Tribolium castaneum: one gene and its partners. The protein of the gene in region 1 purifies or fractionates together with the protein of each later gene. This does not show direct contact. Links are inferred from orthologs where the notes say so. Each region holds a gene or a part of one and is shown on either strand. Other genes may lie near its edges. The genes, in order: Nelf-E, negative elongation factor A and TH1.

The links.
Region 2: the proteins of Nelf-E (region 1) and negative elongation factor A purify together in Homo sapiens (affinity purification with mass spectrometry; 9 studies listed by BioGRID and IntAct, counting the BioPlex papers as one, with this or other methods). This does not show direct contact. The link is inferred for Tribolium castaneum from reciprocal best matches to the Homo sapiens genes NELFE and NELFA.
Region 3: the proteins of Nelf-E (region 1) and TH1 purify together in Homo sapiens (affinity purification with mass spectrometry; 9 studies listed by BioGRID and IntAct, counting the BioPlex papers as one, with this or other methods). This does not show direct contact. The link is inferred for Tribolium castaneum from reciprocal best matches to the Homo sapiens genes NELFE and NELFCD.

Annotation. Positions count from the first base shown.
Region 1 is NC_087394.1:37,088,568-37,098,403, reverse strand, and holds Nelf-E (negative elongation factor E), read left to right. Parts: upstream 1-4,218; 5' UTR 4,219-4,298; coding exon 4,299-4,379; intron 4,380-4,422; coding exon 4,423-4,913; intron 4,914-4,963; coding exon 4,964-5,018; intron 5,019-5,669; coding exon 5,670-5,781; intron 5,782-5,833; coding exon 5,834-5,907; 3' UTR 5,908-5,981; downstream 5,982-9,836. Other genes in the region: Snx16 (sorting nexin-16), read right to left, coding at 546-612, 662-798, 847-1,155, 1,226-1,403, 1,449-1,603; queuine tRNA-ribosyltransferase accessory subunit 2, read right to left, coding at 1,891-2,014, 2,076-2,201, 2,673-2,872, 2,924-3,544, 3,588-3,704; titin, read right to left, coding at 6,028-6,749, 6,801-7,938, 7,984-9,622. UniProt on the Homo sapiens protein: Essential component of the NELF complex, a complex that negatively regulates the elongation of transcription by RNA polymerase II.
Region 2 is NC_087395.1:19,623,947-19,634,241, reverse strand, and holds negative elongation factor A, read right to left. Parts: upstream 6,193-10,295; 5' UTR 6,149-6,192; coding exon 5,939-6,148; intron 5,807-5,938; coding exon 5,552-5,806; intron 5,501-5,551; coding exon 5,323-5,500; intron 5,273-5,322; coding exon 4,928-5,272; intron 4,880-4,927; coding exon 4,560-4,879; intron 4,498-4,559; coding exon 4,171-4,497; 3' UTR 3,963-4,170; downstream 1-3,962. Other genes in the region: intermembrane lipid transfer protein VPS13B, read right to left, coding at 6,259-6,827, 6,879-7,065, 8,792-9,976, 10,023-10,258. UniProt on the Homo sapiens protein: Essential component of the NELF complex, a complex that negatively regulates the elongation of transcription by RNA polymerase II.
Region 3 is NC_087394.1:30,825,472-30,835,997, reverse strand, and holds TH1 (negative elongation factor D), read left to right. Parts: upstream 1-3,552; 5' UTR 3,553-3,664; coding exon 3,665-3,721; intron 3,722-3,769; coding exon 3,770-4,210; intron 4,211-4,260; coding exon 4,261-4,410; intron 4,411-4,466; coding exon 4,467-4,597; intron 4,598-4,643; coding exon 4,644-4,831; intron 4,832-4,877; coding exon 4,878-5,130; intron 5,131-5,246; coding exon 5,247-5,457; intron 5,458-5,505; coding exon 5,506-5,646; intron 5,647-5,691; coding exon 5,692-5,821; intron 5,822-5,847; exon of another isoform or gene 5,848-5,868; coding exon 5,869-5,903; 3' UTR 5,904-5,961; downstream 5,962-10,526. Other genes in the region: Urm1 (ubiquitin-related modifier 1), read right to left, coding at 2,033-2,101, 2,151-2,199, 2,808-2,889, 3,094-3,164, 3,217-3,239; nop5 (nucleolar protein 58), read right to left, coding at 5,962-7,510, 7,563-7,639, 7,696-7,740; transcriptional protein SWT1, read left to right, coding at 8,219-8,689, 8,746-8,893, 8,942-9,097, 9,266-9,369, 9,419-9,806, 9,854-9,993; Syx7 (syntaxin-7), read left to right, coding at 10,464-10,526. UniProt on the Homo sapiens protein: Essential component of the NELF complex, a complex that negatively regulates the elongation of transcription by RNA polymerase II.

The DNA of each region.
Region 1 (9,836 bases):
ACGCGCCAAAAGCAAGAGGGACGCTACCTCAGGTCAGTGTTTTTCGTCATGTATTTTATCGAAAAACGAAATAATCTTGAAATGTTTTGCTAATACCGAGCACACAAAACACCAAATAGTGTCTAAAGTGTTTTATTTTTGTTTTTCATCGAGGTTTTAAAAAGGGGTAGAAAAGTACAAAGTAGGACCTGGAAACGCGTTATTTTGCTTTGTGTCACTGGAAAACTTTTTAAATCGGATTTTTTTCGTAAAATAAGGCGGAAAATTCCAGGTTGGAGCATTTTTTCGGTTGTTTGAGAAGGTTTTTCACAGAGAAACTCACAAGTTCTCGCTCACACAAAAGTTTGGTGAGGCTACTTTCCTTTGTTTTTATGAATTGAGAATATTTTTTAACAAAAAAACTCACTAAGCTTTGAAATAAAAATACACAAAAACATTACGTTATATATTTATTTATAAAAGCTGCACATTAGTTAACTTAATTGATTTAATAATACACTGTGATGGTGCGTTAATATAATACGATAAATAAATAAAACCCTTCGTCATTTAATGAGTTTGGTAAAATTTTCGCACTCCTTTTGACACTTCTGGCAGTTCATCACCGAATTCCTGCAATAAAAAATTGTGCCAAAAATTCACAAAAAAACTCACTCCTTACTTAATAATTTTTAGTAAATTATCGGCCTCTAACGTCTTTGAATGCAACGAATCTTGCAACGAGTCAATAATTGCGTCTTTTTCCCTCAATTGCACCTTCAAATCATTGATTGTCTCCTCTAGAGCTTCAAACATTGCCTAAAAAAAATTATTACAAGAAGAGACAACACACAAAAAATGACCTACTCTTGACTCCTCATTCGTTTCGGAATAAATCGGCGGTTCATTCAGACAGAAAAAATCCTGTATTTCCTGTGATGTAATAAGTGACGGTTCAGCAAGTATTGCGTTAACCAGAGTTTGCAAACCGCTGACTCTTTCTTCAAGAAATAAGGGATCGAAATTGTTCTTCAACCACCTTTTTCGGGGGAGGAGCTGGACAATGTGGGTGTGGGAATTGCGTATTCTATTGCACAGCCTTACAAAGTCGGTGTAACGCCGGAAAACGTACCAGCAATCGCCACTCACTTTATTTTCAATGCGCAATTTGTAAACCTACATTTTTTTGATAAATTCGTTGTTTTATTCCACGTTAAAACGATAAAATGGTATTTTATTTTATTACCGTAAAACGCGCTCTTTCTTCCATAATCTCATACCCAACTATCGGAATTTGTATATTGTTGAGATTGTCTCCGTTGTATGAGAAAAAATTGGCGTTTTCTTCAGGAATCGAATTTTCTTCAACTAGTGTTGAATTGGAATCATTGGAAGTCGTGGTGGAATATTGGAAGTTGCGATATCTGTCCACTAATTAATTTCCAACTCTTTGAAGTAAAATAACTCACCTTAAAGGTTCTGATAGGTAGTCTTCAGAATCAGTCGTGATAGCCTCCTCAGCGGTCTCACAATCTTCATTATTGTTCCCTTGAAGTGGGTGCCCCATTTCTTGCACTTTAAGTTGGCTTAACTTATCGCTAATCTCTGATTTTTGCTGATCCATTGTTTAAAAATAGTCATAACCTCAAAACTGCCACGATTAATTAACACCAACTAACTGTACAAATCACTCATTGTGAAATAATTCATTTAATTAAGTATTTAGAGCACAAACGTAAATAATGGAGACAACAAACTGAATGACTTAACCTTAAAAAACAGCTGTTTTTTGCGAATCGAGGTTAAGTAAGGGGGGCGGGACTTAAGTCAAGTTATCAAACGGACAATTTATTTAAAAATAATAGAAAAACAGTCGTACAACACGAAAATTTTGTACAATTTGGTGTCCCGTCACTTGGTTTTTTGGTGGTTTTGGAATTGTTCCGTTATGCTCACTTGGAGTGCTTGTAAGGTGTTTGATTTCACGCACTTGCGGATTTTTTCGAAAAATCGCAAATAGTGGTACACATTGTGTCTGGAAAATTATTATTATTATTAATCATAATTATATTTTTTCTTCTAATTAAAATATTCACATCATCACGAGGATTGGCCCCAGGAGCTCATGTACTGATAGCAAGTGGTGTATGTATGCCCTTGAATATTTTGTGCAAGACGTGCAATTGCAACCAGTTAGAATTGGCTGAAAATCGTCCAAATATCTGAAAAAAATTGACACTTTTTGTGAGAAAATACACCAAGCATTCAATTAAATTTCGATAAAGTGGGCTGTGATTTTGGAATTAAGTTGGCAACAATAATGTCAATTCTGGTGATATGCTGCATTTGGTTCATTTTCTTGAACAAAACTTCATAAAAAAGTAATACAAAAAAACCCAAAATGTTGTCAAAAATAACGTTATTTTGCGCGAAAATCACTTAAATTGTAACGAAATTGTTTTTTTCCAGCTGTATATTAGCTGTTTCGACTTAGCACAAGAATTCGTTAAAAATAAAGGGAACCACAAATTTTATCGAAAAAAACTCGTTTTTTCAACCCTTTAACTAAATTTTGAACAAAATTCTCTCTTTTCCTTTGTGAGTTATTGTTACTAAAGCCTGAAAAATCATCATTGCCAACATAATGTTAGAACCAATTTAATCAGAAATTTAACTGAACAAAAAGTACCTACTTTGCGTCTCTTAGATTTATTTCATACGTGTCTGTCTGATCTGTTGGTTCTATCGCAAAAGTCATTGCTGCTGATCTTTCAGTGAGAATATGACAATATGAGGAGTCAAACAAATCAATCCCCATTTCGACCAAATTAATAACATTTACGGGATTCCAACAGCCTTGAATGACCCGTAGTTTATCAGTGGGTAATTTATTCTAAAAAAAAATTACCATAAAATTCGAAATAATGAAGCGGTTGTTAAATACCAAAATATTTTTCACCACGGGCTCAATTTCAGCAAATTCCAAAAACTCGGTCTCGGGACCATTATTATGAAGTCCATCTATTAAAAACCCACCTACATCTTTGACATCTGCTAGAATCGATTTGAGAAACTTTTCCCGAGCTAATTGTTTATAACCCCCCACTACAGGAGCAATCACAAACGAATTGGCTAAAGTTTGCGATTTTCGGTGTCTCTCCAAACACTCCTTGTAGAAACTGACTGTGTTACTGAGTGATTTTGAAATGCGTTTTTCCGAACTGCTGATATTGGTGTCTCCATCAGAGAGCAAGAAATAAATGTCAGGCTTGAAAGACTCCACCACGTCCATGTAGCTTTTAGCGTCGTAATAAACCTTGCCGTTTTTCGTCCAAATGGGCACTTTTAACGTGGAATTGTGCCCCTGTTTTGTGATATTGCAAGGGTCTTGAAGAGTGAGACAAGTCAGACTGTCTTTACTACCAATGAAATTGGAAATGGTCCCTTCGTAATACTGCATCGCCTCTTTAAACGTGTGCATCCCAGCTAAAGGGATTTGCAAGATCTGGGGGTCCCTACTGACCAGTTTAAACACCTCATGTGTAATGTGAGGGATTTGACCGCCCTAAATTAAATTTTAAGGACAGTTAACCAAATAGGGGACTCACCTGTGTGTGGAGCATTACTGCAGGAGTCTTGATCGAGACAGAAGGCTTGGCATCGATCTCTGAAAGAGTCCCCAAACGTTGGGCACACTTTGAGACAGATTCCACGTAAAATTTCATCGTTAATTTACACTAAATGCACTCGGAAAAGTGTGAAAAAGCAGTCTATACAACTAAAATCACTTCCAGAATTAGGTTTTGACAAATAAAGCAAACATGACATTCAAAAATCCGAAAAAAGTGGACACATGCCGGCCTAACCTTACTTTTGCATGCCTCACAAATGGGAAAAAATAGATGACAGGGCGCAAAAACACACTCATTTACGTTTTAAAAACGAACTTCACATGATTTCATTCATTAATATACCAAAACTTTGCCAGTTTTTTCATTATTTAATTGTGGTTGTTTTGTAGTTTTTTTGGCATTTTTTGTGTGGCAACGTGTGACATATCGAAATTTACAGTGGCCCAGTACAGTATTGCGTGAATTAAAAAAATAACTAGCGTATTAAATTTTGGACATTGAGTTAGCTGACTGGAATTGGTTATAAAGTGAATAGTTTATCTAAATTAAACAATTAAAATTAATTGAATTATGAACTAGTACTGTGATTTTCGACCTTTTGCACATTAAACCGCTGTTAGTGTTGATGTTTATTCATCGAACTGTCATTCAGTTTGCAAATTGGACAAGTTTTTTTTTGATTAAACGATGGTTTACATTCATTTTCCGGCAAATTTCACTGAAGAGGAGCTCATGCTCCAAGCCAAATACCAGAAACTTAAGAAAAAGGTAAGTGGAACGGTGTAAACAACCTTTTCTAACTTCCTCTCAGAAAAAGGCTTTGCAAGCCCTGAAAGCCCCCAAACCCGAGCCCGAAAAGCCCATTACGCCTAAACGGCCAGCGGAGGCTCGAGATGCTCGTGAGGTTGCGAAAAAACTTATCAAATCCGGTGCCATTCCGGCCATTTCCAAACAACAAAAACAGCCAGAACAGGGCTTTAAACGGCCTAGAGGCTTGGAAAGAAAACTGATTTCGGATAAAATTGTGAGTGGTTATCAGCCTTTTTCGGCTGTGCAGATGGACGATGGGCCTGATAACCCCGAAAATAAGCCGCCAAGGATTAAGAATTTGTATGATACTTTTGCTAATGCGCGTGATAGGGAAGAGAGGGGTTTGACTGAGAAACAGAGGGAAAAGCCGGATAAACCCAGGCAAGGGAATACGATTTATGTGTCAGGGTATAAGATAACGGAGGAGTTTTTGAAGAAGCATTTTTCAACGATTGGAAATATTGTGAATATTTCAATGGAGATTGAGAAAAAGTATGAGGGGGTACAATTTTTATGTGGGGTTTTACATGTTTGGGTTTTAGTCGCGGGTTTGTCACGTTTGATAAGGTGGAAGCCGCCGAACGGGCCATAGCTGAGGTAGGTTTTTATTTGTGATTTTTTGGTCATTGTTTACAATAGTTTTTTATTGAGTTACAAAAGAGAAAACACGAAAAAATTAAAAAAGAATTTTGTGTTTGTCTCAAAAATGTGCTTAAAGACGTGAAGAAGGTGAAGAACAGTATTTTCGGCTTAATTTGCTTGTTTTTCTTACATTTTGTAAATAATTGTGTTTCTGGATAACAAACGAGCTAGTCTTAGAAAAAAAAGGCAAGAATAATGTAATCATCGCAAAAACTGTAAGATTTTTGCTTTAAAAGTGTCTTTAAATTATTGAAAACGGTAAAAATAACAGCAACTTTGACAAAATTTTGTGTTTTTACTGATTGAATTTTCGGCACAATTTCACAAACTTTCGGGAGGAAAACTGTGATTTTGGTTTAGAAATTGTTACATTTATTAATTGGCGGAAAACTATAAAAGTAACACCATATTCGAACTAAATCGGCGATTTTTTGACGTATTATTTACTCGGTCATTAATTAAGAAATATAAAATTCTGCGTCTTAATTTTCTTGTTTATTTGAAAGCAACAGGTGATTGTGACATTAATATTCAATTTTTTTGGTGTATTATTGGTTATTTTATTTTATTTCTTATTTGCAAATTTATTAACTGAAAAATTAAAAGATGGATGGGAGTATGGTTTCGGGGATTCAGCTCAAAGTCACTCTAGCGAGACGACAGCCCCAAATAGAGCCAATAAATGACGCATCATCGAGCGCAGCGTGGGCCACTCTAGGTAAAAAAAGCAACAAAATAAAAACTATAAACTTGATACAACATTTTTATAGCGTCAAGTCATTCTCAAAAAGGCAATCACAGGGATAAGAGAAATTTAGTGTCGTATGATGATATGTTTGACTAAACTTACGTAAGGTGATTTATTAAGAAAAAACCCGCTTAATTATAATAGTATTAACAATAAAAAATTGAATAATAGTTTGACTAAAAATTTATTTACATAACAAATCCATTGAAAAATCCCTTACATGTCCCTCGGCGGATTAAAGTACTCCCAGTGATGATGATGCACCGTTTTCCCATCACCCGCTAATAAAATCAATCCCGCAATTAAAACCAACAAAATCACCATCATTACATGCAAATCCTGTTGCCCATCCGCATTCCGTATCAAATTATCCCGAATATGCGCAATCAGTCTTTTAATCGTGCAATTAGCTGCCGTTCCGCACGCCCTCACCAATTGCCCCGTCAGCTGGGGAATGGAAGGGGGCTCAGGCGAGCGCACACGTCGTCGTGCCGGGGGCGGCGTCTCCTCCGAACTCGACCTAGAAACGGGGGTTTTACGATGACGCCGCCTTCGATAAGGCGCCATAGGAATGTCCTCATCCACGAATTGTTGCGCTCGCAAAGCGTAGAAACTCGCAGGGGGCTGTGAAGAAGGGGGCATGTAGATGGGGTCAGGGGGACGCGGAGGCGGCGTTTCCTCAATCGAGACGCTTCTCACCGGGGGCTCTGGGGGGCGCTCTGAAACGGTAAGGGGGTGATCAGTCGGGGAATCAACGACTGAAAGGGTAGGGGGGTCGTCTAGAACTAGTGATGATTTGCGAGGGGGTCGCTGGGGGGGAACGTCAGTTACTTGTTCAATCGGAGTTTTTTTTTGCTCGGGTGGTTCACTTGGTGATGCTGATTCTTCATGTGGTGGTGCTGGTGGTTGGAGCTTGTCGAGGAGTTGCTGGATGAGACCTGGAGCAGAGAATGTTACATTACAATTACATGGTTAATTGTAACACTGACCTGGAGGTAGCTCGATTTCGCCCACTTTAAGGGCCCCACTTTTGGAGCTCAGATCATTGGTTTGGATGCTTCCACTGTCGATCTCTGATACTACAATTCTGCTGGCTAATAGTTCGTTCACGTTTAGTCGATCGATATCCAAATCGCTCACTTGTAATTTCTGAGCTTTCAAAACTTCAACTTCGGTGTTTGAATCAGGTTGGACTATAACAGTGCGTTCTGTAACTGTCGGTGGAGGATCCTTCAGTTTGGAAAATTCTTCCGGGATTTCGGAAGTTTCTTCATCTTCTTCCTCAACCGGAATCGTCCGTTCTTTGGGTTTATCAATCCGGGTAAACTCATGGTCTGGTAGGATTTTAGCCCCGTTTAAAGGCTCCACAACCAGACTACCATGAGTGATGGTTTCTTCTTCATATGTGTAGTTTGTTGGAGTTATCAACCGTATCTCAGTAGTTTGAGTCGAAGCTTCCGTTTCCTCTACAACTTCTTTTTGTTCTTCACTTTCCTCAACCGCGATATTTTCCTGACTTGTGATGTCGTGCAAAGGCTTGTTGGTTTTATTCCGAGGGGGCCTTGGAGGTGCTGGCAAAGGCCGGTCTTTCATTTTCTGGATCACAACCCCTGATTGTAAATCCCTGTTTGGTTCCTCATCAATTTCAATATACTGTGTTATATCGATATTTTCCTTCTCCTCATCGGTCATATTCGGTACAGGGTGTTTCCGTCTCGGTGGTCTACTGGGCCCCAAAGTACTATAATTCCTCAAGGGTCGTACTGGTGGTTCCTCCGAGACTGGTCTAGGCACAGTGAAAAATTTCTGTTCGGATTGAATCGAACGTTTCCGACGTGGGGGAGTTTTTGGTGGTGGTAATGGTGGTTCCCTTCTTATGTTCTTATCAACGATTGCGTAACCCATATGGTCTCGGAAATCCTGGACACATGTTTCTTCAACACACGGTTGTTCTTCAGTCAAGGATTCGGCTCGTGATCGGGTTCTGGAGCGAGATCTTGCAGGTCGGGAAGGGGGTTCGTCTTGAATTGACTTGGAGCTGGAACGGGAGAGGGTTCGTGAGGGGCGAATGGGGGGTTCCTCCGGGACTGGGATTATGTACTCGTGTTCGGTTTTGTAAACTTCAGTCTGGAAGAAATTGTTAAAATTTTAATTATTTTAAATGAGACTTACATCCTGGTCCTGGTCCTGGTCAAAATCCCCAAGGATTGATTCGTGTTCCGAGTAATTTAGACTTTTTAAACTGCGGTGTTTTCGTGGCGGAGCCATTGGTTGTTTTTCTTCTTCTTTAAATTCTTCGTCTTCACTTTCATATCCGGTGTAAGGGTCGCTGATTTTGATTTCCGGTTGTTCTTTTCCTTCCATTTGCTCATTCTCGTACATCATGACTCGATTTTCGTCTTCAACAGCTATGGTTTCTTGATACGGTACAATTTCTTCCTTTTTCTTGTTCCTTTTGCTTCTTCGTTTTGGTCTTGAAGGGGGTGCTTCAAGTTCAAGTTCCGAGTCCTGGTCGAAGGATAATTGTTCCTGTGACACGTGAGGTGTTTTCTTCCGTTTAGGTTTCTTCACAACTTTTCGTTTCGTAGTCTCGGGGAGTGAAGTATTCGAAGCGCGAGTTTCATACGAGTAAGGTTCAGTTTGCAAGTCATTTAGAGCATTATTAGGGGATTTGAAAGCTTCCCGGATTTCGGAGCTTAAATACATCCCGACTTCGATATTATCCTGTGAGATTCCCTTCTGTCGGAGGAAAAACTCATCTGAATCAATTTCTTCCAAAACACCTCGTCGATGTATCCCTAGGGAACTTTCCGACGAGTGAATGTCTTTACTCGTGTTGGTGTCAAAACTCTCATGTGGTTGTGGCTTATCAATGGGTGAGTCTAAATCAGTGACTTGTTGGTTGGGTTCGGGATGGAAGCTCCCATGGTCCCATCGGCTGTTGTAATTGTGACTAAAGGGCGAAGCGGAGTGTATTTCCTGGTTTTCCTTCTCGTAGGCATCGTCAATATCGATATCTTGGTCGTATCTGATATGAGACGCCGTGTCTTCCCTTTCTTCTTCCATCGAATCTTCCGAATGGAGAGGAATTCGGATGGAGTCTCTGCCACCCCAACGATCATCACTTTCTTGCTTTCGTTTCGTCCGTGGAACTGTTGCAAATTCACAAACTTCCCGTTCATTTTTCGCAAACGAATCGAAATTATCGTCTTTAGGTTTTTTCTTAAATAGTCTTGGATACGTCCGAAAATCGAAATAATTTGTCTTGGAATCGCCCGCATTTGATTCCGTCGAGTATTGTCGTTGTTTCAGAGACCGTTTTCTGCGTGGCAAACTAAACGAAGGTAGATTGACTTTCGCCGAATCGGGAATTTTCGGTAAATTGAACTTAGGTTTCTCGAATTTGAAATTTGGTTTTTTCAAGTGTGGTTTTGGAGGCAGCTTGATCTCGTGTAGTTTTGTCTTGAATTTATCTGTTTGTGTTTTGAGGGCTTGTTGTAGTTTACTGGGACCTTCAGATTTTGGTTTTTGGGTGACTGTGACTGTGTGTACTGTGGTGGTGGTTTCTTGTTTCGGTGGTGTTTTGGTAAAGTATTTGGTTTCAATTTCGGTTTGGATTTCTTCAACTGTGTAATCGGGTGCTGTTTGCAAGGGTTCGGAACCTAACATTCGGCGGTCTAGTGATGTTGTGCTACTGGCCAGACTTATTGGTTTTGGCTGAAGGTTCTGCTCTGAGTCGATTACGTGAACGGTGGGAGGTGCTGCCGATGGGATGTCGGGGGGTGGATTCACTGGTTCGTACTCGTGATCACTAAAAGTGAAAAAAAATCGTGATAGAAATGCTCTAACTGTCGAGAGTCCTACGCTCAAATAAATTTATTTCTTTCATGGGCGAGTGTTTTAAAATTTTTGGTGACTTGTCTTTCTGAGAGAGAAACCTATTCATTCACGTGGCTTAACAACTTAAAGACAGACATTACCGCACAATAGAATTCGTTCCACTAATGGCCATTGTCGCTCTCAGC
Region 2 (10,295 bases), on another chromosome or scaffold:
AACATTTCTGATTAAATCAACGACAAACGACAAATTCTATTCAAAATTTAAAAAACAGGAAAAACAAAATGAATATTCATTGAATGTTGGCTTGAAAAACTTTGATTTCTCACATTTTTTCTGTCGTTTCCTTGTGGCATTTTATTTTAAAAAAATAATAACAAGTGTTCAATAATTGTTTTGGTCGTGGTTTGCTGTGGTTTTCTCTTTCTAGCATGAACGTAGGTTGCGCGATAAGTTCATATGGTTTGCTGTCAACTGTTTCAATGTTGTCTTATTTTTGCATTTAGAAGTTTTTGATAAAAATCACATTGCAAATCATGATGCAGACGTTCAAGAATTTACTCTGCAAGCTCAATTGAACGTGTGAATTTTTGGCCGCATCTTTGGTCTGACACTGACGGTACTGACAGCTGTCATCTGTCATTGTTTTGTAATGTTAACCAGACATACGTTTTTTGTGACAATTGCCACACATAGGCCACACTTGTTAGTTATGGGTGCTTAAAGTTCTACAAGCTTAACTCTAAAAATTTGGGGTTTGTTATCTTTTTTAGAAATTTGAAAGCACCAAGAGAAAGATCTAGACTTTCTCTTTCAAATGAGTTGAAAAATATTTTAAAACTTCAAAAAATGGCGGAGTTATCGATTTTTGAACTTAAAGGTGCAAATCCGAAAAAAAAATTGAAAACTCTAAATATTTCGTAAACGGCAAAATTATAGGAAATGCTTATGTAAACTATCTTAAAATAATTCTAGTAATCCAAAAACGCATTAAAAATATAGCTTTCCATTCAAAATAAGGAAGCTGAAAGCGACTTCCGGTATAACCGGAAATGTCGCCATGTTGTATTTACATTGAACAGAACCCAAAAGATTATGGTTGTATACAATACAAATTTTCAGATGACTGTCATTACTAGAACTCCAAATACTTCTAATGTGGGGTTGGGACGGAACACCCTGTACAATTTGTGCTTGCGATTGATGTTGAAAATTTCGTTTTTATTAAAGAAAAGTTAAGAAACAATTAAGGAACTTGTACCAAAGTAAAACTAATAAAACTATTATCATTTTTTCCGCTGAAACGAATATCACAATTTCAAACTTTGTCGCTAAAAACACTCCCAACTCCGAACAACCCGAATATTTTTTGCCATAACAGCCCGAAATATCATTTCGCTTTTAGCATCGGGATAATTTGTTACGTAAATATCAAAACGGGTCATCGAGCTGCTTTTTGTTCCCCATTTCACACTTTTTACTCTCGTTTCATTTATTTTTTAGTTTTCTCCGGGACGAGTGTGCTTTATCTGGGAATGCAGTTTGTTGCGTCTACACCAAACAATGCCGTCCCCAGAGACACATATTCCATTTATGTTTTGTTCCCGTGCACATTAAAGTCGACACTGTTTACATTTTTATCGCGTTAATAAATTACCGAAAAAATAAGTAAACGGCTTACGACAACCTTCAAATTTATTGGCGCTAAAATGGAAAATCCATCTTAATGGAAAATTTAGGTTTTACACGGAATGTAATTATGCTTGTGTGTCCCCATGGGAGACCAACCGACGGTTTGTGACGCAACTTCAAATGAGAAAATGGAGGTTTCTTGTGGTGTTGTGTGGATTTGAAGTGGAAGAATAGCTGTTATTAGTTTAAAAGTTGGATTTTTTTCAGGAATATGAAGTCTTTTTTCCTGGTTTTACCGAAAGCGATTTTTTTTAATGTTTTTAAAAATTTGAAACAACTGGACGAGCTACAAGTTTACAGGTGTATCAGAAATATGTGTGATAATTTTAACAGTTAACAGCTAGCAGAGCTCCATAATTAATTTTTATTTTTAATTTAATTGTGTACAAAAATAAAAGTACCGAGCTATTTTCGTTGTGATAGAAACGGACAATTTAAACAATTTTAAACAACAATAAAGATTGTTGCTATGAATACAAACTAATTATTAAACACTGACCGTCTCGTTTACACACGAGAAAGGAAAAAAATAGTGAAAATAACAAATAAGAATTTTACAAAATGTTATAAAGTTGTTGTAGGTACTTGATGAGTTTTATTACATCGTAAAATTAATTTTTTTCGTTACACACAAAATTTGTAACAATTATAATAATTATTAACTAATTTTCCAATTCTATACTCCTTCGCCGCTGACCAGAAAAAAGCCCACACGAAAAATGCGCACAAGAAAAAAGCTCCCAAAAAAGCCCACAAACATAAAAACCCGCAAAGAAAAAAATTCACACAGAAAAATGCCCACAAAGAAAAAAGTCCACGTCGAAAAAACCTCATATGGAAAAAAGCCCACACGAAAAAAGCTCATACAGAATAATTCCCACAAAGAAAAAACCCCACATGAAAGGAAACCTACACCAAAAAAAGCCCACACGGATAAAAACTCACGTTCTTTTGAAAGCCCACTAGTTCCTATTCGTAAATAAACTATTTGTTTGTCCTATTCCACTTCCATAACTGATTAAAAAAATCATTTTATGGCATCTTTTTGTGCACTTTTGATAATATAGGTTGCGGTTTTCAACACTCCAAGACCTGCAGAAATCGTAAAGAAGAGGGATAATTTTATCAGTTATTGTTATGAACATTTTTTTTTGTTTCCGCTTTCGTATAGAGATTGCATCAATTATCTAAATTCTGTTAAAATGATCATTGTTAGAAAAGTATTTGTGTTTGCTATAGCCGGGTATAGCAATTCGAATATCGCAGCAATTTTCTCGAAAACTTAGTTATTTTGAAAAAAAAAAAAACTAAACCGTTTCAAATGAGTCGATTGTAATATTTGCGGGGTGATGCAGTTGTAAACGTTTTATCATTTAACGCTCTCGAGGTACCTTTATCGAATTTTTTTTTAATTTAAGGCCTTTTTAGCGAAATAACAAGCTAATTTTTATCATTCTGGTTCAGCGGTTCTTAAAATTTAGGTCCAAAACAATTTTTTGAAAAAACTCTGATGTACTTTACTTTACGATGCGTTTTCCTATTTCCCATTCAACTTCAAATTTTTGCTAAATCATTCCCTAACTTACGGGATAATTTGTTGATAGGTATTTATAATTTGCGTGAATAAGATTTCAACAAATTATGGCAAAAAATGACAAATGCGGAGAGATCACTCAGTATAGGTTTAGGTACCGTTTAAGCTATACGCCGAAAAGCTGAAATCAATTTAAAAAAAAATTTAATTTATAAGTAAAACAAAAAAATTACAACATAAAATTAAGTTTCTTTGTCTAAAAAAAAATTGAATAGTTACACTTTTGAATATGTTAATTTACTTTTTCCTTGAATAGTAACAAAAACTGATTCTCAAATTATAAAATATTTTTATTGTTATCCGAATAATTATAAATTTATAAATCTATCCACGATTAGGTACAGAGATTTCTTTTCCAGTGAGTTAATTTTAGCGTGAGCTTTTTTCTTGTGAGTTTTTTTCTTTGTGGGTGTTATTCTGTGTGGACTGTTTTTCTGTCTGGAGTTGTTTCCATATGAGGTATCTTTTAAGTGCGATTATTTCTATGTGAGTTTTTTCCGTGAGCTTTTTTCTGTGTGAGCATTATCTTGTGCGCTTTTTTCTTTTGCGCAATTCTTGCACAAAACACTCAAGCGGATGTTTCAGAATGTCCAATTTTTTTTTAGCAACACAGTATTAATTAATTTTAATTGTAAGGAATTGTAGAAAAATTTTCAAAAAATCACATAAAGAGAAAAATAAAGTATTTAATAGCAAACGATGACTATGGTGTGATTACTAAAGAAAAAAATTAAACAAGTTTTTGTCATACGAACTTTGGATGCCGTTTATCCATGAGATGACTCGACACACTTGAATCACCCTGTAGTTTTTTTATGTTACAAAATTTTGGGATTTGGGTTGGTTTCATTGTATTTCGTTCGTTTTCCAAACGATTAAAAAAAAGTAAACATGCGCGTAGCTTTTTATTCAGTTATTTACAAATTAGAATATTTACAAAATATGTACAACAAACTTAACGTTCAGTTTATCAAACTGTTTACCTAACATAACGTTACATTCGATTTTTTTAAACTTTAAAAATCGTAAATAAATATTTCTTTCTTACGAAGCATAATAAAAAACAATTCCTATGTTAAATAAATAACAAAAAAATTTTCTTAATTCCCAATAACAGCAGGAGCTGGTGTATTTTGTGGCATCTGATTAACAACATTATCAATATGTTTGTACTTTTTGATTCTCTTCCACTCTCCATTATTATAATTCATCTGGAAATGAGTCTCTGCGACCATAGTCAGGTAAGTATCGTCAGGTTGCAACACATTTTCCTGATCCTCTGACAACTTAATAGTGACAATATTCCCCAAATGAGGACAGGGATTATCCCTTGACCCTGCCATAAAACCCAAAATCAACGCCTTCTCGGGCCTTGTCACTTTGTTCGCAGTTCGGAACATATCCTGAGCTTCCAACATTTGCTCCCTCTGGTGAAAAAAAAAAACAAAAAATAGAATTTTTTAACATATACTCGTAATCAAAAACCCACCGTTAATGCTAAGCCCCGCCTCTGCAAAGCATTCGACGTCGTCTGTGGCTGGATCCTGATATGCGTCACAGTGGGCGTGGCCTGAGTCGTCCTCTGCGCAATCGCAATATTTGACACTTGGCCGACAGCCTTCACCGATTGGTCGGTCAAAATCGTCCTCTGCCCACTTGGCGTTGTTGCCAATAGGGGTGGTACAGGCCGCATAGTTGGCAACTGTGTCGCCGCCACTGTTGCCAGTTTCACGGTCGGCGTTGCCACCTGCGCTGTCGTAACCGTAGTTACCGGTGCTGTTACCGCAGTTGTTAAAATGGAAGACGCTGCTGGAAAAAAATTAATAGGAACAACAAACTTCAAATTCGAATAATTACTGGTTGGTGCGAGGATGGGCTGTGGCGTGGGCGGCGCGTAGGCTGGGGTGGAGCTTAAACCGGCTGCATAATCGGGAGTGGTGGTCGTGCCTGAAACAGGTGGGGGGCTTTGCAAGGCAGCATTTTCGGTGTTTTTCTTCGCGTCTTCAATTTCTTGCATCTTCTTTCGTTTTTTAGCCGCAGCGTAGCCAAGTGGTTGATCGGCTATGTCCAAGAGTTTGACTCCGCCTTCTTTGCGTCCGGCTGGAGGGCGGGCCAATGGGGGCCGATTGTTTATATTGTTGTTTAATGCACCGGAGCGGAAGCCCGATGTCGGGACTCTACTCGGGATTCCTTTCAGGGGTGCTACAAGAAATAATGCTACCAACTGTCAAATAAACAACGATCATGCATACTTGTATCGGTCATTTTGCGCGGCATGCCTCTCGAGCGCACTGGAATGACCGGAGCTGATGATTTTTTGAGATTTGAGGCCGCATCTGAAGATTTTTGTAATAAATCTGCTCGTAAAATTGCCGATTTTTGTTTCTTTTTGATGGTGAAGTGTTTAGTAGGCTCTGGTTTATGGCCAACCTGACAAAAAAAAGTTGTGATTGTGACAAGTGACACATGTCAGAGACTTACGACAGAGACAAGGGCTGATTTGTTTAAATAGTGGCACTCCATGGGTAGCATAACATTCTCAGCTTGTTTGCGAACCAGTTTCCGAAGATCTGTAACTAAATCGGTGAAAATGGGTCTCACTTCGTCCAAGTCGGAAATTTCTGTGTTTAGGGACCCCGTTGAAGGGTACGTTTTTAAAGCCTCAGCTAACATCGCGACCCACAATTCCGAATCGGCGACGGCCACATCGAGGATTTGCTCCAGCTCTAACTTCCACTAAAAACAAAGTAGCAAGTGAGTACGCCATAACCTCAAACAACTTTATTAGACGACAAAGTTAAAAGGGGCGCAACCAAGGGGTTAATAACGACAAGTGGAAACCGTGGGGGCTTTTATTTGTAAACATACTTCTTCGAGGTTCCTGCGCGGGATGTGAAAAAAACTCAACAAAAGCTTTAATTTCACTTGGGTTTGAAGATCGGGAAAACAGTCTTTGATGTTGCGTAACACTTCGGCGTTCAATTGCGAGCATATTGAGCCCCCCGTCCAGGAATCGTTCGAAATTCCGAGTTTATTGTGTAACCATAAAGACGTATCGCTGTCACGCACATTCGCCATTTTGCGTTTGGAACGGTGCTGCCAACAACCAGCTGACTAGCACTCAAAGCACTACAACAATACAGCGGGAAATTTAAACACTCATTTAGTTTCATACTTTTATTAACAGTTTATAACACAGGAAAATTATAATTGCTGTTCATTTGTTTGGCTAGTGTTAGCAGGCAAACGAAATAATTCCGATTTTGCGGATTCACATAACAATTAATCTGTTCGTTGGTATCGTCCATGATTACGGAATGTTGATTAACTTCGGGTAGTTGTAACAAACTTGCCGTACTTCTTACATAATCGGCGACTCGAGCCCTCGACGCTGGGTCCATTTCGACCACACACTCCTCCTCACACTTTTGTTTCATAATCCTGAAGGATAGATAAGTCGGGTCGTTATCACTCGCAACGACTTGAATTTGCCCCAAACTAATTATCCGTTTCACATTATCATCATCAAGATTCACAATAATCAAAGCATCGGGTGCCAAAACCAACCCAATTCCTTTGAACTCAGAATCGTTAAACATCGTTGCTTCAGTCGCAAAAAGCACATTTTTATAAGTCAGCGAGCTTAGTAACTTCCATTCGTATTTTAACATTGAATTTGAATCTAACAGATTCAGGTTTTTGACCAGGTCACTCCTAGGTTGCGGTAGGGGATTCCACCCGGCCCCTTGCAATAATCCTACAATTTTAATTTTTTTAAGTCAGTTTTGTAAATTTACGATTATTATACCTTGACCAGTCAACGCCACCAGTTCGGCAGCTCCACTCAAAGGCTTAGTTAAGACTCCCACTAGCCCTAATCCGACACCCGCTGCGAGTGACCTGGGTGATGCCCCATCGGCCATTATGCTCTGAAGCGGGTGGTGGGCGATGCCTCCAACAGCCCCCAAAAGACTGATACCGAGTCCCGTCAAGCCCTAACAGAATTTTTTTGTAATAGGTTGTAACCAGCTCAGTAATCAGTTAGTCACATACATCAAATAAGAATTGATAACTTATTAAGTAATTACATAATTACTTATTTAAAACCTGTGCAAAATGGTAAAAAATATAAAATTTTGAAATGAAATTTAAAATTTCTAAAAAGCTTTCTGTAACAAGACATTCTTTGATCTATTTTAAACTGTATTCCATTAGTCTATTACAATGGAATGGTAATATCCACTATTTGTGCACCCAACAAGGTGAGAATAAATAAAACAACCTCTTCGGTAAAGACTGATGAATGAGTGATGTACTGATGATGAGCTCAGAACGCAACTTTAATAATTTATTAAAATAATAACTTGTTTAAACAATACTATTGAATTAGTAATCTTTAACCAAAAAATGGTCGCAGTAGACTTCCATTTAAAACAATTAAATTTTGCATAACTCATAAACGGTATCGGTAAAATTAAAAGGAATTTATAAAAAAAATATTCTTCACAAATGATCACATTTTTAACAGTCTTAATAATACAAATTATTTTTTGTATTCATGCAAAAACGCTTGTTTTATCCATACTTTTGCCCAGCACTGTATGTAGACTAGCACTGTTCAACTTTTCGTACTGGTATACCTACTATTATTTACGAATTAGTTAAAAGAACGTAATTTTTTGACCATTTCGAAAAAATTCTTGAAATAAATAGTTACAGGCTCACAATAAACAAATAAGAAAATAAAAAGTAAATATTACGAAAAAATCGAGAAAATTAAGCTTCTAGAAGACTGTAAATAATATTTATCTCAATACAGGTTCTTAACTTATACGCATAGATAACTTAGGGAATGATAGTGTACACATTTGTTCCACCACAGTTAAAGAAGTCTAATTATTTTAAAAACAAACAAATACTAAACAATACTTTTCGAGCATTGAAACCTAATAAAAAGAATGAAGATATAAAAAAGGCAGATGCATATTTACTGATGTGTGATTAGATTAGATATCCTTTACTTTTATAGAACAGTATATATAATAACGAATACTGAAAAAAAATTCTAATAAAAATTTTTATTACCAAGATATTGCGTAATTTTACACTGCTAAACATTTAAATTTGAAGTAGTACTAATACCAATTAATTATTTTGACTAAGTTCCTAATAGTCCTGGTACAATGGTACTTCCTTAAATTGACTTTCGACAGAGGTAAGGAAAAAAAGTTACGATCTCGGGTATGATAAAAAATCACTTAAATGCAAAATAAAAAATGGAAACAATTTTTCTTTACGGAGATAAACCCGTTAATTTGAAAGAAATTAAAACATTAAAAAATAGTGACAAAATCAAAACCTTGTAAAATTTCTGTTTTTTTTTAATATATTTTTTTTCAAATTATTAATTTATGTATCCTCGTAAAGAAAAAAATAGCTTCATTTTCACTTATTTTGCATTTAATTCATTATTGAACATAACAATTTTATTAATCACCTATGTCGAATGCTACATGAAGGCACTAGGAGGCAGTATGTTATACCGAACTTAATTATAATCTTGGTATTATTTCAAATTTAAATGTTTAGTAGTGTACAATAACATATATTTCGGTAATAAAATTTTTTCACCATTGTAACGCTTTTTGCATCAGGATTCCATACTCATTTATTTAATGCCAAAAATTTGGGCCTCCCCTGAAGACTAACTAAAGAAAATACCTGCATAAATCCTTGCGTCACCCCTTGTGGTTTCTGCCTCCTCTGTTCCTCCGTCCGTCTCAAATGCTCCTCATCCAGAGTCAATCTATCCAAATTCCTTGCAACACTCGACGCCAACTTCGTCACAGATTGCAGCGTCCCAGCTGTCACGTGTTTCATAAGAGAGGCCGAGCCATGAGTCACACCAGTTAGAAAAGCCCAAGGGCCCTGTATAAGCCCCCGATAAGGCAAATTGATAAAGTCGCGAAGCCCTATACCCATCGCTCGCGCAAGTCCACTGGGACTCCCAAGCAGTTCGAGCGAACTGACGACCCAACCAGCCCCAAAAATGGCCCCCGAGAGGTAGTGCATGGTCATTGCATGCCCCAATCGATAGGGGGTTGTCAACAGGCGGCGTCTTTCAAACCGGGCAAACTGGAGAGGGGACTGGTCCAGGGCTATGTACATTTTGAGGGAGCAATGGACGGATAAAAGCAGCGACAAGGGCTCCACTGTGATGGTTTTGAGACTCAACGGTTTGGCGATTACTAAAGAGTTCCAAAAAACCAACTCGGGGACTCTAACTGAGACGCTTTTGGACGTTGTGCGGGACTCTGGTTTTGCGCCCACGGCCAGTCGCATCGGAAACAATTGGGTGAAATATTCCATCAGTTTATTGATGTACAAATCCTCGACGTAGATCGAAAGCGAATTTAATTTCACCTTCACTTCTTTCACTCCAGTCACGTTTTTCTTGCGCAAATCATCAAACCAAGTCTCCACCACCATATCCAAAATCAACACACTGTCGGTGTTCCTGATCAGTTCTTTCGCATTTTTTTCCAAAACGTTGGCACCACTTTTCGGTTTTTGGTCCTGGCTTACTACGACCACAGGAAAATCGAACGATTCCTTCGAATATAACTCATTATCGAACTGGATGTCTAATACAGAAAGTGAAACTTTCAAATCGTCACTTTGACGAAGCTCAACGCCCACATCGTCAAAACTAAAACTCGCAACTCCTTCTTTTTCCGAATCATTGCCATGATCTGCGAGAAACACAAGACTGAAGGATTTAACGAATGCGAAAACTTCGATCGAATCCCAGTTATTCTGCAAGGTTGGTTTGAACAATGACTGGTAGAGCGATAATTTTGGGAGAATTTTTGCCGCATTTTGGAAATTATTATCAGCGACAATATCCTGGAAAATTGCTATTTATAAATGAAGCGATTCAAAAAGACCGTACTTTGTGCCGATTATCATATTTTCCGAGCACTGTCTCCATTTCATGCCGCGACAAGCGCCCCCTGATGTCAATCGCGTTGATTTCGACTCCACTTACCGACTCAATGGACAACAAGGTGGTGTAAGACGTGACTTTAACCACCAATTTGACGTCGCCAAAGTTCGGTATTTTGACGAATTGTTCCGAATCGTTGACTATGCTGACGGCACTTGACCACTCGAAATGATCGCTTTCGGCTTAAAAAATTTTTTTAGTTTCAATTTTCAATAAAAA
Region 3 (10,526 bases), about 6.3 Mb from region 1:
TTGTTGAAATGATATTACAACATAAAAAAATTCTAAAGTAAATGTTTATTAATTTTGATACAGCATAATATTGGTTAAAGTATTAAAATTAATGAACGAAAGACTATACTTGTGTGGCTTTTGTGAATAGAGTGTGAACACGGGCGACAAAATAGGCATCTGAACGTGCTGGGGCAGTCATTGCGTAGGTGTTGACTTTAAAACTCCCCGAAGGTACTCACAATTTCAAATAAAACTGTAATTGTATGGGCAAACGACTGGTCTCTGGATAACAGTCCCTCTTTTCCAAAATTAACCCATAATCCGAACCCCACGGAAACGTAACGTGCGAGCGATATAGCACGTAAATTTTTCTCATAAACACAGGCACATTTTTGAATTGCATAAATACGAATTTGGATGAACAGGTTTAAAATAAAAAAAGCGAATAAATTGTATTAAAAGTAGGTATAATAGCCGGTGTAAATATCGACTAAAGGAGATTACAGCGGTTAAAAATGAAACACATTCAAATGATTTTCGGATTAATGTCAGTTTTATTACACAGCCGAAAGCAGAAACGTACAAATGTCGGAAAGGTAGCATCGTAAATAGCGCGAAATCAGAATTTATTCCCAATTTCGTCAATATTTGTTTGAACTGGATTCAAAAAGTGTATGGTAAGACATTACATATGTCTCGACACACCTCAGTGCTGCAGTCAACCGGGTTGAGCATCATCTACGCACAGGATCTCCATATAAACGACATCATTATCCTGCGATGGTCCTGTCCGCCTTATCCTTTACAGCGGCAAAATCATAAAACTTAACCTTAATTTAGTATATTTCTTTTAGGAAATCGTTCCCTCCTACTTATGGAAATTTAATGACCAATTTCCCCAATTTTCTCAAATAATTGCCACTTCTTTCGCCATTAAATACAACGCTCCGTGTACTTATAACAATAATGATTTTATGCGTAAAGTTTCCATCATTATGATAATTAAACTCGAACTCAATTATAATGTATCGTTAGGGAAACAAAACGGGTTTTTCGCATAATTCTCGATGGCTCATCGACTTTATGCTAATTTATCCAGACGTTGCGGGAAGTTATGCAAAGATCAGATATTCGAAATGGTTGGGACGACAATAATCCATAAGTAAAATCTACGGTAGAATCGTGAACAATGAGATAGTAAAGATTTCTTATTTCTGCTGACACTGCACTTAGATATTCAGAAAGTACCACAAAGGTAATAATATTACGTGCTCTCGGCTCTTACAATATCTGATCAGAGCGATAAATTTTAAATAAAATCATTATTTCCGAATATTGCGCTCCGCCGGTGAATAGAAAGAGGGTTAACACCACACCAACAAACTATTGTGTGATGCACTGTGTATCTTGTTATGTGATCTCTAGCGATAATTTACATATAAGGGCCACACTGGGTGTAAACTATCTGACCACATCGATTTACGAGCCTATTTACACGACGCCGCTGCTCCGATAATATTATGGAGAACTGTTAATGCCCTCACCAAAACCGCGACATAGACAACTGCTACTTTATTGTCACTCAACCAGTGGTGAATGCGGAGCGCCCAAGTAAAAGTCTACATTTTAAGCGTTTCCAAAAAAAAATTTTTCTGTTTCTAGCACAGTGTAAGCACAATAATAGTGAAATGTAAAAAAAATAGTTTCTTATTTTTTCAGTAATATATGCCTTTTCTTTAGTTTCTGGAAACTTCCTCAAGATCTTGCTTTGTCAGATTGTCATAGCATAACCAGCGGACAATAATTAAAAAAAAACTGCCCGAATTTGGCAAAAAATGCAGGTCAATACATATAATAATCTATCAATAGAAGAAAAATTCTCATTTCCTTTTAACCATGTTTTGACAAAGATAGAATTAATCGACCCAACTATCGTAAGTAAAAAAAACAAGAGGAGTCATTGGCCAAGGTGTCATGACAGTAAAGAGTGGAAGCAGAAAAACACATCATAAACAAATCTTTTATTTAAAAAAAAACAGATACAATAAAATTAACCCCCGTGTAATGTGGAAATAAACAATATCCTATCATTTTCCCGAATGACATAGTTAACAGTGTCCTAAAATGTAAATAAAGATAAAAATTTGTATTCCCTAACTGCAATTTACCATCAATTCCCAATCTGCGTCATTGATTAAGACGAGTATTCCAGGTCGCCTACAAAAAATAATAAAAGAGTGAGCGCATTTTTAAGCGCCGGAACGTAACAAGCTATACAAGAGCAACTAATCAACGCGGCGTGAGTAAATAGATGCTGAATCAATTACCTATGCGGATCATATTGCTGCATACATGCATCGAAACAAGGATAGTATTATAAAAATAGAGCAGATTTTGTAATTTCGTGGAAAAAAGGGAAATATGAAACTCGGAACAAATTCATTTGTCAACGATAGCAAAAAATGAAATACTGTATTCATCACATGGAGGGCTCAGAAGCCAATCTGTGTATTTATTTCACTTTTCGTCAAGTAACTTTTGTGGGACAGGAATCACTCATTGTTAACTTTTACAGAAGCGAGTCCTTCAATAACGATTCTGATTTTCACCTTTTTTTATAAAGTAAATTTTAAGAATGCTTATTATCCCATTTTTTTGCTAATTTGAGTTATACTGACTGGTTTCTGAATCCTGCATGTAAATAATTAAGAAAATTAAAAAAACACGTATTATTTAATCTTACTGCTCATAATTCACCAAAGAATAAAATACATTTTATAATTTAGTCTGAATTTAGCTAAAATAAATTTAGTAGGTATACTTACACAGACTCATCTTGCAAAAACAGTTCTGGTCGCTCTTTCAATAAATTATCTTTAATCCAAATAAGTAAATCCTTAATTATCCCTGCAATATAAGTTAAGCATATTAAGCAGTTAGCATAATAGCAATAAAGTATAAAAGATATCCACAAATGTGTTTCATTTCTTTAAAATAAGCTAATCAAATCAGGTGTAGTAAAAATTGATAAAATGATAAATAAAAGACTATTTGCGATAAATGCTTTGATTAAAAGTCAGTAAAAAAGTGAATTATCCTTATTATCCTTACATTCCTTGTCTTTTTCAGGTAATGTTACATCGTGACTCTTTTTGTTATCAAAAAGCAATTCAGCACCACCCCTGAAATATTAAATTATACTACAGTTTTAGCAAAAAATTAAACAATTCTCACCCAAATTGCACCGTTATGTGCATTTCGGTTTATATTACTAAAAAAATAATTACAAAAAATTACAATTTGATTCTCATAACCTTTAATTTCATAACATGTCAAGTTCTGTCAACCATGTTAGCCAATCCAGTTTATAAAATTCCCAAACAATATTGTACTGTTTTATTAATTTATTATTTGGTGAATAAAGTCAACTAATTCAATTTTGGACCTTTGAATGTGTCCCGGATTTAATAAAATTGTACCATGAAATTCTAGTTACGGAAAATTTGGGAATTGCTTTATAATTTTCAAATCTTTGTGGGTCAAAGCCGCCAACGTACACTTCGCGAAATAACTACTAGTTGGTAGTAACGTCAAATTTCGAAGGTTATGTTATGTTTAAGGACGCGACTTTTTTATTGTTTTAATTTATATAACTGCCCCAGTTATATGTAATTAACTTGCAATGGATGAAGAATACGACGAGAGAAATTGGGATACCGTTGATCGACTCGATAATGACGTGAGCATTTATTGAAATCTTGAATCTTTCAACAACTCGTATTTTTAGTCAGATGCGGGCGATGAAACGGAAAACCCTGAGCAGGTCCTTAAGGAATGCGCGGAGAAATTTTCGACCTCAGACTACATAATGGAACCGGGAATTTTCTCCCAGCTGAAACGGTATTTCCAGTCTGGAGGAAACCCCTTGCAAGTGATTGAAGAATTATCACAGAACTACACCGCCGTAGCCCAGATGGCTAACTTGATAGCAGAATGGCTAATCACAGGTGGAGTCAATGTAACTTCGGTTCAAGCAATGGTGGAGAACCACTTAAAAGAGATGATTTTGAAAACATTTGATCCCAAAAAAGCTGACACGATTTTCACAGAAGAGGGTGAGACGCCAGCTTGGCTGACACAGCTAATTGAACATCCCACGTGGCGGTCACTGATTTATAGATTAGCTGAGGAGTATCCAGACTGCTTAATGTTAAATTTCACAATTAAGGTTCGTAAAAATTGCCTTAAGTGTAACATGAGTAAATGTGGTAATTGCAGCTTATTTCCGACGCCGGTTTCCAAGCTGAAATCACAAGCATTTCAACGGCAGCTCAACAGTTGGAAGTCTTCTCTAGAGTACTCAAAACTTCAATTGCTAGTTTTTTGACCAATCCAGAAGACTGGCAAAATACCAGCAAGGAGTGTGCAGTAAATTATGCAATTTAACACTTGAATTCACTAAGAAAAAAAATCTATTTTTCTAGAAAATGGTGTGCCACGGCCAGCACACATACGTTTACAGTCAAGTGATTATCCACGTGTTAGCTCGAGAATCCAAGGGTGGCAGTAGCATGAAGCGACTGTCTCAAGAAATCACGAAATGCGCCCAAAAAAAGTATAATTTTTTCTAGTAAACACAAAAATTATTTATCCATTTTCAGTGGCCATGACGTAACTCCAATCACAATGGCGTTAAACGGCGCCTCTGCATACCCTCTGGCCTGCCAGGCCTTGACATCAATGCTTTCAAAAAATACACTTAATCCAGCCGACATTACAGTTCTGTACAGAAATTACAACGCTCCAGACCCTCCTCCCATTGATTTAATCAGAACTCCGCAATTTCTGGGTTTGTTTTTTAACGATTCTGAATATATGGTAATTCACAATTTCAGAATTATTGATTGATGCCTTGTTTAAACCTGGAGTAAAACTCAACCCCGACCACAAGCCCAAATATATCCATTTGTTAGCTTATGCAGCAAGTGTCTATGAAATGCAAGCCAAAAAAGGGCAAAAAAGAGTGGTCAATAAAGATGAACTTCAAGCGACTATTCATTCAATTGAAACGGTCCACAATATTTGTAATACCAATAAAGGGAGTTCAGAGCTAATGGCAGAACTTGCAACGCTGTATCAGTGTCTCAGGTAAGTTTCTAAGATGATATTTTAATAAAAACTGAATAAATTTTGTAAATAAAATGTCGGTAAATCACCATTATCAAAAACATTGTCAACTAAGAAACTTATATTTATTTTTTTAGGTATCCAGTCGTTTCTGTTGGAATTATCCGTTGGGTTGAGTGCACTGTTACCGAAGCAAGTTACTTTAAATTGTCAACAGAACACACTCCAATTCATTTGGCGCTCTTGGATGAAGTAGTTACTTGTCACCCTCTTCTCCATAATCAAGTACTCGACTTACTAATCAGGTTGTTTGAATCCAAGCAAGACGAACTGGAAATTTTAGTCCAAGTAAGTTATCAATTTTTTTACGATATTTTTCAGTTTTTTTTTTGTTAGCTTGAAATGCGCAAAATGGTCCTTGACAGAATGGTAAATTTGCTATGTGCTGGATGTGTGGTACCCGTTGTAAAGTACATAAAACAGTGTTGGCAAAAAGGCGACACGGACATATCCCTGATTCGTTACTTTGTAACGGAAGTAAGTTACTTTGTTAAAAATGACCGGAAAATGCAATTTTTGTAGGTTTTGGAGACCATCGGGCCCCCTTATAGCTCCGAATTCGTCCACTTATTTATGCCAATGGTTGAAAATGACGAAATTACGGGAACAATGAGAGGAGATGGGGAGAACGACCCCGTGTCTGAATTTATCGGTGAGTGGGAAAACGTGGTAAATCAATTTCTTATTGTTTGTTTTTAGTCTATTGCAAAGCAAATTACACCGCTGTTGTATAACAGCACCTTAATAATAAGAATGTCTATTATTGTAAAAAATAAAAAACCTTCCGCTAAATTATTCATCTTCCTTGGAAATGCTCTTCTTCTTCTTTTTCTTTTTTCCACTTGTTGGCTCTTCAACAACTTCAGGCGGAGCTTCGCTCTCGGACTTCTTCTTCTTCTTTTTCTTCCCAGGCGTCACCTCAGGTTCTTCCTTAACTTCCGCTTCCACCTCTTCCTCCGCTTCCTCTTTCGCCTTCTTCTTCTTCTTTTTCTTCTTCTGGCCCTCACCACTGTCCTCATCCTCCTCCTTGATACTGTCATTGGTCTCATCCGTCTTGACCTTTTTCTTCTTCTGCTTGGGAGTCTCCTGAGTCGTGTTCAACTCCTCCTTCACTTGCTCCGACTCTGACCTCTTCCTCTTCGAAGTCGAAGGTAACGTCGAGTCGGCAGCAGCAGGATACTGCTGAACTTCCGAAACCCCTTGATATTTCTCAAACTTGGCCTTGGCTTTCGCCGTCCCGCTAATTCTCCTCAAATTCCCCTCTTCCAAAATTCTAAGACGTGCTTCCAACTTGGCTTTGTGCTCCGCCCCAAGCGTGAAATTCCCGTCTTCGCCTAGAGCATCGACTCGAGTTGCGAGGGCTGCTTTAGCCGCCAACATTCGAGACATTTTCCCCTTGTTTTTGGTGCTACTTTGCCCCACTAACTGGGCGTGGTAGATCAACCCGTACTTCGGGGTGTCTTTCTTGGTCTTGAGGGCTCGGAATAGCGCCTTCTCAGCCCCCAAAATCTGCACCGTGGAGGCCGGATGTTTGGCCAAGTTTATCAAAGACCCAGCGTGCGAAATCAAACGAGCGCCCACCAAATCCCCAACCAACGTTGTCAGGTTTGGGGCCATCGCCATCATACGGGCCTTCAAATAGTCGTACAACTGGGTGCGATAATTGGAAATTTCTACAACTTGGTCGCACAAGTTCTGAATGTTTAAAATATCGTCGTCGGATATCTCAGTACCCATTGATATTTCAGCTGCCTCCTTGACTTTCTCCTCAATTTCTTCGGGGAGAATGTCGGAGAGGTCAGAACTGGCGGTGTTATCACGCGTTCCGATGATTTTAACAGTTTTGACGAACGCAACGTTATCAGTGATTATTTTCCCAAGCTCGGGAAAGTGCCAACCGTACCATTCGCGGCACCTCATTATGTAGTTGTTGAGTTCTTTATCGAGGTCATCAAGCAACGAAACCGCTTGGACTATCATTGTATCAATTTTATCAGGCGAGAATTTTAACTTGTACCGTGATAAGGAATGAGCTAAACCTAACGCCATCGCGGTCATTTCCTTCTTAGGTAACCCCGTTATCAAACTGTCCAATTGCGACCGAATGCACCGCATCAGCTCCTGGACAGCTGTATTCGAAACGCATTGTAAATTGAACTTCTCTTTAATGGCAGACCCTAACTTGGCGTCGGCCACAAGCAGCTTGTCCTGCAATTCTTGGTCGATGTGCTTCTTCAGCACCTTCTTCAAGCTTTTCGAGACTTTGCCCTCGACGGCTGCAGTCGTGGCAGCCAGGGCTTCAGTGGTATCATTGAACTTCTCGAAATGTTTCAGCTTCACACTAAAACAATTTTACTAATAAGTTTGCATTTTGAAACTAGGACAGGTCGTACATTTTTCCTGCCGACTCGGGTGAATCAAATTCATGGTACAAATTGTTAACTTCTTTTAATTTGCTTTCATCCAGAAGCTGAAAGCATGGAAAATTTGAGGTTAAGTTTGTCAACAACTTTACTGCAGAATTACCTTAAACAGCGCGTAACCTGCCGCTGTCTCAAATAAGACCAACATTTTTCACTTTGTATTACAACAATTTATATGAAAACCCACCAATTTTTAATATTAACGATAAAAACCGGCAACAATTAGAAACCATGAGGTCTAGCGCGTCGGCGAGATTGTCGACTCGCACGAATTCCCCAAGAATTACCAACTCTTGGTTCTTTCCCCCACGTGCCTTTCCAATGTAAATCTAAATAAAGCAGATTTAAGATTATTTGACACCAGTTTACAAAAACCCAAGTTCTTTTTAGTATGTGTGGGAGTTGTAATTAGTAACTGGCGTTAACTGGTTACTTGTAAAAAAGTTTCAGTTTCACCTACATTCGGTTAAGTCGATCTTAACAACAGGTCGAATTCGGGTGCATTGTACATATCACGTGATCAAGTTAAGATGGCGTTTTGTTGTTGTTGTCAGCTGATTTGCGAGAAAACAGAAAATTGTTATTTGAAAATGAATTAAAAGAAGTTTTTTTTGCTAAAAATTAAAATGTCAGACAAACGAAAAGTCCTCGTAGCCAAACGAAAAAATGAGAGGAATCCTAAAATTTTTCCGGAAAAAATTGTTCAAGAGGATAGTCATTTAAAACATGGAACGAAACGTACCATTAGTGTTACGCCGAAAAAGAACATAGCTAATGAAAGGTTAAAGAGGCTTAGGACTAGCTTAAATGAAGAAGTTTCAAAATCTGCTCAATCTGTACCAAAATTTAAAGACAAGAATTGTGTGCGGAAACGACCAACTGATTCAGTGCAACATGAAGTGTCTACAAAACTGTTTATTAAGGAAAGTGCCTCGAGTTCAGGGGAATGTTCGAACAGTGAACCTGGAACTCCTTTCATTTTTAAAGAAGAGTTTCTAACACAAACGAATGTGTTTACCACTGAATCTCCAAATCCATTTGCTGTTGGCTTTCAACAGACAGCAGTTGTTTCAGAAGAGGATATGGAATGGTGTCCTGTATACTCTCTTGATTTAATTATTCAGTTTAATATTCTAGTTAATTGTCTTTTTAGACTGATATTGAGGAGTCCAAAAGCACAAGTGATAATACTTTAAATTCACAAATTACGAGTTCTTGTCAGTTTTATATTGTGGTTGACACGAATATATTCTTATCAGAGCTGAATATAATTGCTAACATTGTTACATTAGCTGTTAAAGGTAAAGAAATGTGTAACAATGGATAAATATTTATCACACTTGTTATAGGACCCAGGGAGCCAGTCATTTTCATTCCCTGGATTGTTACAGAAGAGTTAGACTTTATAAAGGGCGATTCAAACAAACGTAGCCTCAGACAGAAAGCTCAAGATGCCATCAAGTTAATAGAAAAAACTATGAGTAGTAAACATAATAGAATGAAAGGTATACTGAAACAATGTTTCACGTAGAAGTGTTTGCATTTTTTTATTATGACCATTGAACTTTATTTTTATTCTTTAACATGAGTCGCTCTAGTAAACAAAAAATTCACGGTACTTTTTTCATTGGATAAGGAAGCAGTGACAAAAGTAATAGCAATTATTTTTTCAGGGCAGACACTAATGGAAGCTAATGAACAGGAAAGTGTAGGTGCAAATCAAGATAACAAAATAATTGCTTGCTGTATGCAAGTTTTAGAAAAATATGAAAATATGGTAACACAATAATCCACATCGAATTATTTTGGGTGACTTAATTTTTTAGGTTCTCCTCACAAATGACATTAATTTAAAAAACAAAGCCCATTTCAATAAAATTCCCGTATGCTCATCTAAAGAAATAATGTTTAAAATACAAAAAATGCAGAATAATATTCCGCTTTCTCAAGAAATAATGCCAAAAACGCAGAATAAATCAGCGACTATTTTAAATATCATGACATGTTTATGTAATACTGTAATTCGTGAATGCGCTAAAAATGCCTATGGAGAAGCCTGTAACAGAATGCCAATATGTCAGCCATCATCAAAGACTTTAACTGAATGCATCGCTACATTTACAAAATACTGGTTTCCTGTGTTTCAAGAAGTAGTAATGAAACAGTGTAAGAATGCCATAGAAGATCTTTCAGCCTTTCTATCACAGCACACAAGTAGGCTATATTTTACCAAATTCCTATTAATGATTTTAATTTTTTAGCTATAAATGATACCTCAAAAGAATTAAATGACCTCATAAGACTTTGTCTAAGAGTTTGTCTATTTTTGAAGGACGTCGAGTGCTGTAAAATTATGACCGAGAATACGATACGGGATTTAAACAGTCTTAAAAATTCTTAGCGTTTTCTGCAAAATCTTTCTTTAAAATTATATAAAAATTTGTTTAACTATTATCTCCACGGTGTAATCCGTTCAGGAATAAACTATTGTATTATGTTTGTTAAAAAAATGTTTTATTTGAAATTCTACCAATTTTATGTTAATAAAAAAATTGATCGTTACTTTTTGAGGATACCTCGTATAGCTTTGGAAATTTATTTCCGTAATGTTTACATTCTTGTCTGTCAATGAGATTTTAATTTTTTGACATCTGTCAAATAATAAAAGCAGTGACTCACAATCTCAAGTGTTATTGATTAAAAGTGCAAATAAAATAACAATTATTACTTTCCGATTAACAATACGATATTTTATTTGATGTTTTAGGTAAGACATGGAACGTTTTATGCTTTCTTTGCCTTAGTCCAAGCAAACAAATCATAATGATAAAAGTGTTTGATTTTACAGAAGAGATTAATAAACAATAAAATATGGATAGTTTTTCGTACCAAAACGGGGGGCAGAACAGAGAGCAGGATTTCCAAAAGTTGGCT